Drosophila melanogaster: one gene and its partner. The protein of the gene in region 1 interacts with the protein of each later gene in a pairwise test. Each region holds a gene or a part of one and is shown on either strand. Other genes may lie near its edges.

Region 1 (4,186 bases):
CGATGCGATGTAAATAAACAGTAAGAGTGCGACAACATTTGTTTATAGAAATGGAATGGAATTTAAAGTGCGAAATAGGGAAATACTTAACAAAACAAGGATCCAGAAATTGAGTTCTTTTATTTTCGACCAACTTGCTTGTTTTTCCTATTGGATTTAGACGTTTAAAAATACATTTTTTTACAGAATATAAAAGTTAGAAGCTAATTATCGAGTAATTCCTTTCTCCTGATTCATCACATGCTTTTCTTGTCCACATATCAATCCACTTTTCCATATTATCGATGCCAAAATAAACGATTGATTGATTGATTGAAAAATCAACCCACGCATTTTAATAAAAACAACAACAATTCAAATGTGCAGTTACACACACATAACTAAAAGGGAAGAGAGTGGAAAGCCGAAAGAGAAGAAGAGCGAGAGAGAGCAAATATTATCGCAGTTATTACGAAATCGCAATCGAAACATAACGGTAGATATAGATAGGAAAAGCACCAATACAATAAAGCGAATATAACCGCTAGAGGAAGAGGGGAAGAAGTGGGTGGGTGAAAAAGAAAGATCGCTGTCTCTTTCTCGCTCTCATACTTGCTGACTGCACAATTTGCAGTTAAAAGAAAGAAGCAGAACGGCCTGAGAAGAAAGACAAAGCATAAGAGTAACTGGCCAAGAAGAAGAAAAGAACAAGAAGTCAAGAACAAAATAGAAGAGAGCACACACACACACACATTCGTACGTACCCGTAGAAAACAGAGAAGGCAAAAAAGTCTTTCCTTTTTTTTACACTTTTATCCATTTTCAGTTGCATTTTATAAGATTCTTTAGTACAAACAATTTAACTTACTTGCTTTTTTTAGCAGCCACGCATGCGTCGAATGGGAATTTATGCTCCTTGAGACTCCAATTGGAATTTGTACCCCGGCTGCAAACAGTTTTTTTTTCTCTCTTGCTTTATTTCCACACTGCACACATACACATATGCAGCGGCACATACACACAAGTGCACGCACTGCAGTCGATTTTGTTTTTTTTGCATAAAACTTTATTTCATGTATGCCACTTGTACATTGTTTGTCACCAATTTGCGTATTTTGTACATCAAATTTTATTTTACTTTTCGTTGCCTTCCTTATTATTTTCCTAATCTTCACATGCACTTTTTTAGCGACGCCAACACACACATTTGCACACGCACACACATGGCGAGGATGAGAGAGGAGAAAGAGAGCAAAACACCGTTTTCGTTGCTTCCTTTTCGCTTATTCCTCTTTAGCCGCTTCTTTTCGATTCTGGCTCTTTTTGGCACTTTTAGCCCCAAGTTGCTAGCAATTCACTTAGCGTACGAGCACTAACAATTAAAACGAATAAGACTCGAAAAATACGATGGAAACGCGAACATATAAACAAAAATCTACATTGGTTTTATTGCAGCGCTACGCAGGTGTGTTTTTACGCGCTCATCGCGCAATTAAATTAGAACGCTGCAGATTTACTTAGTTCACTCCAGTCTGCCCAATGCGCGCCGCACACCTCGGAGCCGCAAATTATAAACACGACTGTCTTCGATTTAACGGGCTGGCCTATCGGTCCTATCGATGACTCGATAGTGCGAGCTGGAGTGTGACCATTTCTTGGTAAAAGCAAAATCGTGAAGAGTAAGTGTGCGATACTATCGAACTGTCATATACTCAACCAAATAACATCTGAAATCTGTTTCTCACTAAAACCGAAATTTCCATCAGGGTTAGGAAAATATAGTTTACGCACATCAAGTTGCATAGGTCAATCCTACGTAAAAAAGGCTCGATATAGGTAAGGTGGACCTCAGCCTGAACAGGGCCTAATGCAAATACATTCGATAAATAGATGTTATCGATAACCATTTGGTATATACCAGTAAATGCTTTGTTTTGGTTTTCATTCAGAAAATTGACATACATTTCTTAGTCTGCCTAAAGTTCCTTGGATTGAAAAGAGCAGTGCAGAATGTCGCACCGCCACCAGGACATTCCCATCCGCCCACGTTACGGTTATGTGGCCGAGGAGAGTGGCCCATCGGAAGGGGCAGCCAGGAGTTCTGGATCCGGAGCCACGCCCGCCTCCTCCTACACGGAAATTCCGTTCCTGGCTCAGTATCCGGGAGCGGTGCCAGAGCACGTGCTCCAGGATCTGACGCCCACAGCCACTGGCCATGCTGCGATTCCCGGAAGCACAAAGACAAGACCCAACGGCGAGAAATACCTTAACCTGGATTCGGGCGAGGATCCCGACGAGGAAGACGATCCCTTGGAGGAGGAGGACAACAGCAACTCGAATAGCAACTCTAAGGGCAGTTCCGGCGACATCGAAAGGCACAGACTGAAGGCAGAGAGCAGTGGGTTCTAGGTTATCTACCCATAGTTCCTGACTAAAGCATCTTCCTTCTTTCAGCTGTGCCCTACGAGCTGGACGGCGAAACCAGTGACTCCGACGGGATGCGCCACTTTGTGGCCCACGATCTAGAGGCCAAGTTGCGCGAGCGCGTGGCGGCTTCGGCCTACTCCTCGGAGCACACCACGCCCCTGAGCTCCATGGGTCCCATTGGAGCCACTTCCGGCAACGGTCTGCTCACGCGGCGGTTCCTGCAGTCGCGCAACATTCCCGAAGTGGACGGCAGCGTCTTGAGCGACATCGAACTGGAGGCTCAGTACTTGGCCAGCTCGGTGGACAATCTGATGGAAAACCTGGGCAACCTGCTGCACTCAATCTCCTCCATAACGGCCGACAACGTGGAGGTCCATCGCAACGCGGTCAACAAGCTGACGGACACTTTGGACGCGAATATCAAGTGCCAGTACCAATTGCTGGCCAAGGCGGAGGAAATCACCAAGTCGATGAAACCCACAGAGCAGCTGGGTCAGCGCATGTAAGTGGGTCAATTCAAGACAGATCCCTTTAGTGTAATGGACTTTCTCTTCCGCAGAAGGCAGATCAAGCGGCTGGTGGACATGTTGGACAGCACCATGTAAAATAGGGCTACGCTATCCTGTGATCAACCAATCAAAGAGATCTTGTCTTTCTAGTCATTCCGTAAATACATATAATCAGTGTTATAAAATCCATATGGAAAGATACCTTTCGCTTGTTTAAATCGTACTTATTCTAGCAGTTCCTCCAAAAAATCCACCTCCTTGGCTCACAGCTTCTCCACCTTGGCCTTGATGATCCTTAGGGGATCCACGGGGCGATCGTTCTTGTCGGTTTCCACCATGCCGATCCGCTTGACCACCTCCATGCCCGTGTAGACCCTGCCGAAGATCGTGTGCTTGCCATCCAGCCACTGCGTGGGCGCCAGCGTGATGAAGAACTGGGACCCGTTGGTGTCCGGTCCAGAGTTGGCCATCGAGAGGATGCCCGCGCCCGTGTGCCTCAAGTCGCCGTGCAGCTCGTCCGCGAACTCCGATCCGTAGATGGAGGCGCCTCCGCGGCCAGTGCCCGTGGGATCGCCGCCCTGGATCATGAAGTCCCTGATGATCCGGTGGAACACCACGTTGTTGTAGTAGCCCCTTCTCGAGAGTTCGGCAAAGTTGCGGCAGGTGTTGGGCGCGTGTTTCCAGTACAGCTCCACGGTGATTTCTCCCATGCTGCGCGGGGCACAAATGCCACAAATAATGTGATAAACAAATGCTCAGTCTTCAGTTTCGGCGATTATCGAGCATTCAAGCTCCGGACTCACCTCGTTTCCAGGGTCACGAAGTGCGGCTGCCACGCCTTGTCGGGAATGCCACCAGCATTGTTGGGATCGCTTAGGGACAGCATAACTATATTTGTTGTTAAATTAGCGAGACTTCAGTAAAATTGTTAAAACCGGCAGAGTCAGAGTGACCAGCTTAAGCGTAGTCACTTAGGCCGCCTGGCAACCCTGAACTGCTGCGGTATACTTCTGGTATATATATAGTATAGTATATAGACGCACCTTGGTATTTTTTAGGGTTTTTGTGAGCACACGCAAGGGTATTTTTCAATTAGTTCCATTTCAAAATTCGACGAAAAAATCGTGGAAAATATTTAGCGGACGGAATTTTTCGTCGGGCTCGCGAGAAAAGAGACAGATAATAAGAGTGAGTGCGTGAGCGTGAGTGAGACAACGCGAAAAGTTAGAGAGGATCGGAATCATGGCGAGTGTTTTTTTATAATCAAATTT
Region 2 (8,234 bases), 7.6 Mb from region 1:
TGAGTTTTTTATTACGAATAAAATATGTGTAATATAAGATTTCTACCTTGTTGATTCCATTGATTGATGCTTCATTGAAACCCCAAAATTGGGCAAATTTGTTGTCATGGGAAACTAGTCCACTGTCGTGATGCCTTAAGCTTTTTTTGGGGCAGATTAGTCATTCCAGTTTAAACTAATCGAAAAATGTTATAATACTATTCAACGCATCATCGTTTCTTTCAGGCAAACAGGCCTTGCTACAAGCCGTTTCCGATGCTATGGCCAGCACCCGTCAGATGGCCAAGAAGTTTGCATTTTGGTCCACACAGCCAGTCACCAAGCTGGACGAGCAGGTGACCACCAACGAATGCATTGAACCGAACAAGGAAATTAGTGAGATTAGAGCATTGCCATACACTCTGCCAGGCGGCTTCAAATGGGTGACACTAGACCTGAACGACGCCAATGATCTCAAGGAGCTGTACACGCTGCTCAATGAGAACTATGTGGAGGACGATGATGCCATGTTCCGTTTCGATTACCAACCCGAGTTTCTAAAGTGGTCGCTGCAGCCACCTGGCTGGAAACGCGATTGGCATGTTGGCGTTCGTGTGGAGAAGTCCGGCAAACTGGTTGGCTTCATCTCAGCCATTCCCAGCAAGCTGAAGTCGTACGACAAGGTGCTAAAGGTTGTGGACATCAACTTCCTATGCGTCCACAAGAAGTTGCGCAGCAAACGGGTGGCTCCAGTCCTGATTCGGGAGATAACGCGTCGCGTCAATCTGACGGGGATTTTCCAGGCGGCCTATACAGCTGGAGTTGTGTTGCCCACGCCAGTGGCCACCTGTCGCTATTGGCATCGATCGCTCAATCCCAAGAAGCTGGTAGACGTGCGTTTCTCTCATCTCGCACGTAACATGACCATGCAGCGGACAATGAAGCTGTACAAGCTACCCGATCAGCCCAAGACGAAGGGCTATCGCCGAATCACAGCGAAGGACATGGACAAGGCCCACAAGCTGCTGGAGGACTACCTAAAGCGCTTTCAGCTGAGCCCGGTGTTCAGCAAGGAAGAGTTTCGTCATTGGTTTACCCCCAAAGAAGGTATTATCGATTGCTTCGTGGTTGCCGACGAAAAGGGCAACATCACTGATCTGACTAGCTACTACTGCCTGCCATCGTCCGTGATGCACCATCCGGTGCATAAGACGGTTCGTGCCGCATATTCGTTCTATAATGTGTCTACAAAGACCCCGTGGCTGGACCTGATGAACGATGCACTGATCTCGGCCCGCAATGTCCAGATGGACGTGTACAATGCCCTCGACCTCATGGAGAACAAGAAGTACTTTGCACCGCTAAAATTCGGCGCCGGGGATGGAAACCTGCAGTACTACCTCTACAATTGGCGCTGTCCATCGATGCAGCCGGAGGAGATTGCTCTGATACTCATGTAGTCACCTTGTCACCTAAGCTCACATTCTCGCCCTGCCTTTCACAGCTCCCCTCCTCCGCTTTCTTCACCCTGCTGGAAGTGCCGTGCGGCTGCTTTGCTTTGCTCCTATTTACGTAGCTATTACCTGTAATCTTCAGTTATTCCAGCGAGGAAAGCCCTTTGCGAGCATACACCTAAATAGCATCATTGTGAAAATTGCATTTTGCAACGGCCAAGCTTCGATATTTTTTACTACAAGAACGAACACAAATTGTATAAAATGCGCAGCAATATCAATAAAAATGTAACGTTTACTTGGACCTTTATTGCCTATAATTGACAATAAATTATTTTGCTGCTCTTTTAAAGATGACAAGTTTTTATTTTTTTTAAGCAGATTATTGTATTTTTGCCCACTGTCCCAGCATGTGATAGTCTGGCCACTCTGTCACATGGCCATTGGTCTGGCAAGGTCGGTGAAAAAGCGCGCGCTAAGCAAAACAGCTGCACTTGTGTTGGTTTATTAGTTAACGAAATCTGATTCCAATGTTGGTTTCCTCATAATATTGACAATTAAAGACAGCCGCCGACATGGACGATTCGGTGTTCAAGCTAAAATACCAAAAGTACAAGTTGCGCGTCAAGGTGTGGGAGAAGGACTTCAAGAAGAAGAATGGCCGTGTTCCATCGAAGGTGAGATTGGGATGCGGATATGACAAGTATGCTAACTGGTTGACCTGTTGCAGTATGATATAAGGGACGCCAGTCAGGAGATTCGGGACTCATACAAAATGTACTACAAACTGAAGACATCCTTCCTGGAAGAGACGCTGAACGATGTTCTCAGCGAAGATGGATACGATATTCTGGAGATGTCGCAGGCCAGTGATTTCGGTGTGAGCATGCTGGACCAGGACGTCAGTCTTAATGAAGGTCCTCAGCTACCGTTGGATATATCTGCACTGGTGGGGCCGCAGAGCTCTGGTAATCTTGAGGAAATTCCACAATCGGTGGAGGGCTCATTCTCAAATCTCATCGACCTGCCCAATCGTCAAGTACTCACCAATCTGGTCAATCGCGATGAAAACCATGTCATTCGCAAATTCGAGGCGGTGGAGGAGCTGCCAATCAACCAAAATGCCTGGGGCTTGAATGTGAGTAAGAAGCCACCAGCTCCACCACAGCCTGTAGAGGCCTCCAAATCCGCTCCGGGGCACGGAAAGCAACCCAAAGCGGGCGCTAGTCTTAAGCCCAGCTTGAGTGCCAAGTTATTCCAATCCTCACGCGGTTTTGCTAAACGAAATCCCCGAAAGCCGCTTTCACGTTGTGTCAGTTCCTCTAGTTCCACCACATCACTTAGCTCAGTTCCTACTGATCATCACGAGGAACTGCTCGACTTTGAGACCATACTCATACGCAAAGCCCAGGAGTACAAGGAGAAGCAGCAGGCCATAGCTAACAATCCAATGCTGGCCAGTGAGCACAGCAAGGAAAGTATCAAAACACTGGTGGACGACGGCTGGCTCCGGCGAAATACAAAGGAAAACACTCTTGATGAAGAAGTGCCCTTTGCGGAAGCAAATAATAACAGTGGTACGTCCAAGAAAACAAACTTTGGCCTGGCCAATCTTGATTTAAGTAAACTAAAGCCCACTGTTAAGGAGGAAAAAGTGTTGCAGGCCAAGCCCGATCAAATGGCAATCATACAGGAGCTGCAAACAGATATGAATTCTAGCATGAACCAGAAACCAGATCATCTTAATCACACACCTCCTGCATCCAGTCAAAAATCAGTCGCTCCTAAAAATAAACCTCCACCTTCCGAGCAGGAAACCGATTCGGATTCCGACTCTGTTGTGGCTGAGAGTGAAGAAGAGCAGGAACCACAAGAATATCGGCAACTATCAAAACGTCGCAAAATTGTTTCAACAGCATCAGGAAAAGTGGAAGTAGCCGCCCCAGTTGAAATTCCCAACAAAGTCGAACCAGAGACAGAAACATTTGCTCAAGAGAATCCAGATTTCTCTGCAGATGAAGACCAGGATGCTACATATGTACCAGAGAATAAAAAGAAAGATAAGGCAAAGCGCAAGCAAGCCGCCGGAAAACAAAAGACCACTAAGCCCAAAGCGGAACCAAAACCGAAAACAGAAAAGAAAGCCAAAGTCAAGGCCGAAAAGAAACCCAAGGCGGAGAAAAAGCCGAGGAACTCTAAAAAAGCCATCGCTGTCGAGCCGGCTCCTGATCCAGAAGAGGATGAGCGCCAACCATTGAATCCAGAAGATTTGAAATACGTGTTGGCCTTGGAGGCGGGAGATATTACCTCCGTTCCGCGCATTAATGTGCAGGATCTAGAAGAAGCGGATGCTACCGCCCAGCGCTATATTAGAACCTTCGCCGCTGGACCCAACCCAGGATTGTCGGAAGGGTCCAACATTCGAGTGGATGAAAAGAGAGCCGCAGCACGAAAGAAGCTGGAGGAACGCATAGCAGCTGGTAAATTAAACGAGAACTTTGTGACCATAAATATTCAAAAGAAAAAATTCGTGCGTGGCAAAAAGTCCGTGAACTTCAGCAAGTACAAGAAGCAACAGTGGCGGCATAAGAAACGAGTGGCTGCCTTGAGTGGGCCGGACATGGATATGGGTGGCTGTGATGGCGGAGTGCTCACGTGCTTCCAGTGCGGCGGAGTCGGGCATTTCGCTCAGCAGTGCAAGGTGAAGGGAGACAGCTTGTTGCCACTTTCGGCACAGCTGGAAGAGGATCCCTCGCCGTTTCCCACGCTTGCCGAGGCTCAGGAGATGGCCAGTCAGGGAGCAGTGGTGGCACACAGTCGCAACATCTCACGGCTGCCCCAAGCGGCCAATGCAGCCATCCTGCAAGGCGATGAGTTGAACGAGTCAGAGGAAGATGACCAAGAAAGCAGCGGAGATGAGGAGGTACAGCAGCATCCAGATCCAAATTGGTCTAGCGATGAAATGGACGTTGATTTCGAGGCCCTAGATGCGGCCGTCGAAGCTTCCCTAAGCCAACCGGTTTCGCAAGAGAAAGCAGCTTCACCTATTAAGACATACGTCGGCCACAAGATTCCCGAGGAGTTCCTCAAGCAGGCTGGACTGGACACCACAGCCTCTAGTTCGAATCGCAGCCAGCACGGTGGGGTGAAGCCCCTATACGATCTCCTTCCGGATGGCAGTGTCCAGGACACGACGCCAGAGGTCCTAGAGGCACTCCACATGTTCGGGCACACCAACTTCAGGAAAGGTCAAGATCGCGCCATCATGCGCACTCTCTCTGGACTATCATCGCTAGTTACACTTAGCACGGGCAGCGGCAAATCTTTGTGCTACCAATTGCCCGCCTATTTGTATAGCCGGAAAGTGGGAGCTATTACCCTAGTCATCTCACCATTGGTGTCACTTATGGAGGATCAGGTGACCGGGGTGCCGCACTTTCTGCGAGCTCACTGCCTGCACACTAATCAGACCGCGCCGCAGCGTATGAAGATTCAGCAGATGATTGCCAATGGGGAGATTGACATTCTTCTTGTCTCTCCGGAGGCGGTTGTCGCCGGGGAACGAGCCACAGGATTTGGAGCCATTCTTCGCCAGCTGCCGCCCATTGCATTCGCTTGTATTGATGAGGCGCATTGCGTGTCTCAGTGGAGTCACAACTTTCGACCCAGCTACCTAATGATCTGCAAGGTGCTGAGAAAGAATCTCGGTGTACGCACAGTGCTGGGGCTAACAGCCACGGCAACTTTGCCAACGCGTGTTAGCATTATAAATCACCTTGGCATATCGGATGGAGAACGTGGTATTATAAGCGACATCCCACTGCCTGACAATCTAGTGCTGTCCGTCTCCAAGGATGAGAACCGGGATGCAGCTCTGCTCCAACTGCTCAATAGCGAACGGTAAGACTTGGCCCACCATCTTTGAAACTTGAAGGAGACTTAAATACATTTTGATCATTCTAGCTTCGAGCCCTGCCAGTCCATTATTATCTATTGTACGCGTCGTGACGAGTGTGAGCGTATCGCTGGGTTTATTAGAACGTGCGTGCAAGACCGTAGGGAGCCAACTCAGGATCAGACGAAAAAACGTAAACGTGTGAATTGGCAGGCTGAGCCCTATCACGCTGGAATGCCCGCTTCCAGGCGACGAACCGTTCAGAAGGCCTTCATGAGCAATGAGCTGCGCATTGTGGTGGCCACCATTGCCTTTGGTATGGGCATCAATAAGCCGGACATACGCGCGGTAATCCATTATAATATGCCAAGAAACTTTGAGAGCTATGTGCAGGAAATTGGTCGAGCAGGACGCGACGGGTTGCCTTCCCACTGTCACCTCTTCTTGGATGCGAAGGGTGGCGACCAGAGTGAGCTGCGTCGCCATGTGTATTCTAACTCCATTGATCGGCATGTTATCCGTAAGCTGCTGCAAAAGATCTTTGTGCCATGTAGCTGTGACAAGGAGGCTTCCAAGAGGACAGCTCTTCCGATTCCCCTTGAAGGTGATGGTCCTAGAGTGCATATGTGTCCGGGACACGAGATTGGCTTTTCCGTGGAGAAAACCGTTGAGATGCTGGACATCCCGGCGGAGAACATATCTACTTTGCTCTGCTACATGGAGCTTGATCCCCGATGGTGCATCAGTGTGCTCAGCTCAGCATATGTGATGGCTAAGGTAATCTCGTATGGTGGGCCAAAGTACTTGAAGTAAGTCCTTTAGACACGTGTATTGTGTATGTGTTTAATGTTATTGGTTTTTCCTTGCACAGGCATGCTGCAAAGGAATGTCCACCATTGGCCATGGCTATTGCTTTGCAGATTAGAGATAAGACATTCAAGGAGGACTCTAACATCATAGAATTCTCGGTCACAGATATCGCGGCAGGAATTGGCTGGAACAGTGGTGTGGTCAAATACCAACTGAAGGATCTGGAGTGGGTAAAAGGTGAGATGGTAATCCGTTCAAAAAAGGATCCGTTTAATTAGAAATTAATTTTTCGATAGTAAATGGATATCCCAAGCGATCGCCCATCACGGTGAGCTTCTATGATTTGGGATTCCGCATCAAGGTGCCGGGCGATTTTACCGAATCAGAGATCGACAACGCTCTGGACACTCTCTATACGCGATCCGTGAAACAGGAGCGTACGCAGCTCATCCAGCTGCAATATGTGGCCCATGGATTGGCTGCTGTGGCCTACAGCTCTTGTGGCCAGTGCTGCAATGCGGATTTTCCGCAGGATCGGGGCGAGCAGCTAAAGGCTATCGTGCGCAACTACTTTGCCAATGACTACCCACAGGATCTGGAGCTGGAAATAGAGGTAATTGCTTGGCAACACATTTCAATTTCTTACTTTTATTGCTTTCCTCTCTGTCCATTAGCCAAGTAACGTGCCGGATGAGAACATCATAGACGACGTTCATGCTCTAATAAACATGTACCCGGACAATACATTTACCGGACGTAATATTGCGCGCATCTTTCATGGCATCATGAGCCCGAACTATCCGGCTGTCATCTGGGGACGCTGTAAGTTCTGGCGTGCCCACGTCAAAGTGGATTTCAATCGCATCCTGCACCTGGCCAATATGGCTATTATCAAGAGGCGTACGTGACCGTAATGTCGGGATGAACCGCCGATACCATGGTTAACCAATTAATAGCTCCAAGAATTTTAAAAATATGTGATGCCATTCAATAACATTTTACTCGCACAAGTCTGATAATACAAAAATAAATTACAAATTCTATATAAACAGCTTTTGTACTTATTATGAGTGGAAAGAGAAATTCGTACGGACAATCTAAATTTTTAGCTTGGTTTTTAAACTCTCTAAATCTATGTGTTTCATTAGCTAATAAATTTGCACCATACAATCCCACGCCAATGGAACAATAACAATTTATGATAATTTCATTGCCGAAAACAACAGAGCACTAAAATAAAGTAAACAAATGCCAAGCTCGTTTAGAGGCAAATTGCAGCTACGGCTTCAAATGAAACAGCAGAAATCAATTCGATGGAGCCCGTAAAGAAACAAACATCCGGCTGAGTCATTCCCAATAACATCACGAAATGTATAACCCCGGTCGAAGGTGTCATCTTCAAATCGAAGCCTAGCCAAAGGTCGTCCTTCCTCAGTTCACACGAACGCGAAGCAAACAACCCAACAAATGGGGGGATCTAACAACAACTCAGGGCACAGACAACTGGAAACAGAGAAACATCATTGAAGTTGTCGGATCAGCGAAGCGTTTGATAAAGGTTTTTTATGACTTGGCCATTTTGTGAGGCCTTTGGCTTCTCGTGCCGATGTTGTTTATAATCATAAACGAGACTCGAGTACACAAAAGTCGACCCAATTACAACTTGTTTGTTCTGAGAGTGAGACGTCAACGTCATCATCCTCGCTCCATGATCATCCACATTGTGCAGATGGCCAGCGAAGCCATCGAGCAGCAAGCTGACCTTGCCTCCAATTTTACTCCAATTTCGAGGCATAAAAGCGAAAATCAATTGAAATGGTAGCAGGCAAATACCACAATGCAAGCAACGAGATAGGAAATAATAAAAAATAAAGGAAAAACTAAAAGCAACGAGCAACTTGACTGGCCAGCTAGCTGATGCAACGGACAACATGGCGTATGCTGAATATTAAACAATTGCTGACATTCCAAAGAAAATACCTTGAGATGGGCTTGCTTTACAAGGAATATATAGACTTCGATTTTGTATTATGATTGCTAATGTTGAGAATTCTTCAACGACAACAGTTTATGTTGAAAGCATAGAAGATCTTTAC

Evidence for each region. Proteins that work in one complex are often made in the same cells at the same time.
Region 2: the proteins of BORCS6 (region 1) and RecQ4 interact in a two-hybrid assay, tested with the Drosophila melanogaster proteins (one large-scale study listed by BioGRID).

What each region holds. Positions count from the first base shown.
Region 1 is NT_037436.4:539,052-543,237, forward strand, and holds BORCS6 (BLOC-1 related complex subunit 6), read left to right. Parts: upstream 1-1,799; 5' UTR 1,800-1,889; exon of another isoform or gene 1,890-1,950; 5' UTR 1,951-1,989; coding exon 1,990-2,377; intron 2,378-2,433; coding exon 2,434-2,908; intron 2,909-2,965; coding exon 2,966-3,011; 3' UTR 3,012-3,096; downstream 3,097-4,186. Other genes in the region: Cypl (Cyclophilin-like), read right to left, coding at 3,179-3,626, 3,719-3,801.
Region 2 is NT_037436.4:8,169,631-8,177,864, reverse strand, and holds RecQ4 (RecQ4 helicase), read left to right. Parts: upstream 1-1,886; 5' UTR 1,887-2,008; coding exon 2,009-2,110; intron 2,111-2,163; coding exon 2,164-5,333; intron 5,334-5,396; coding exon 5,397-6,137; intron 6,138-6,199; coding exon 6,200-6,375; intron 6,376-6,434; coding exon 6,435-6,751; intron 6,752-6,812; coding exon 6,813-7,046; 3' UTR 7,047-7,225; downstream 7,226-8,234. Other genes in the region: Nmt (N-myristoyl transferase), read left to right, coding at 226-1,439.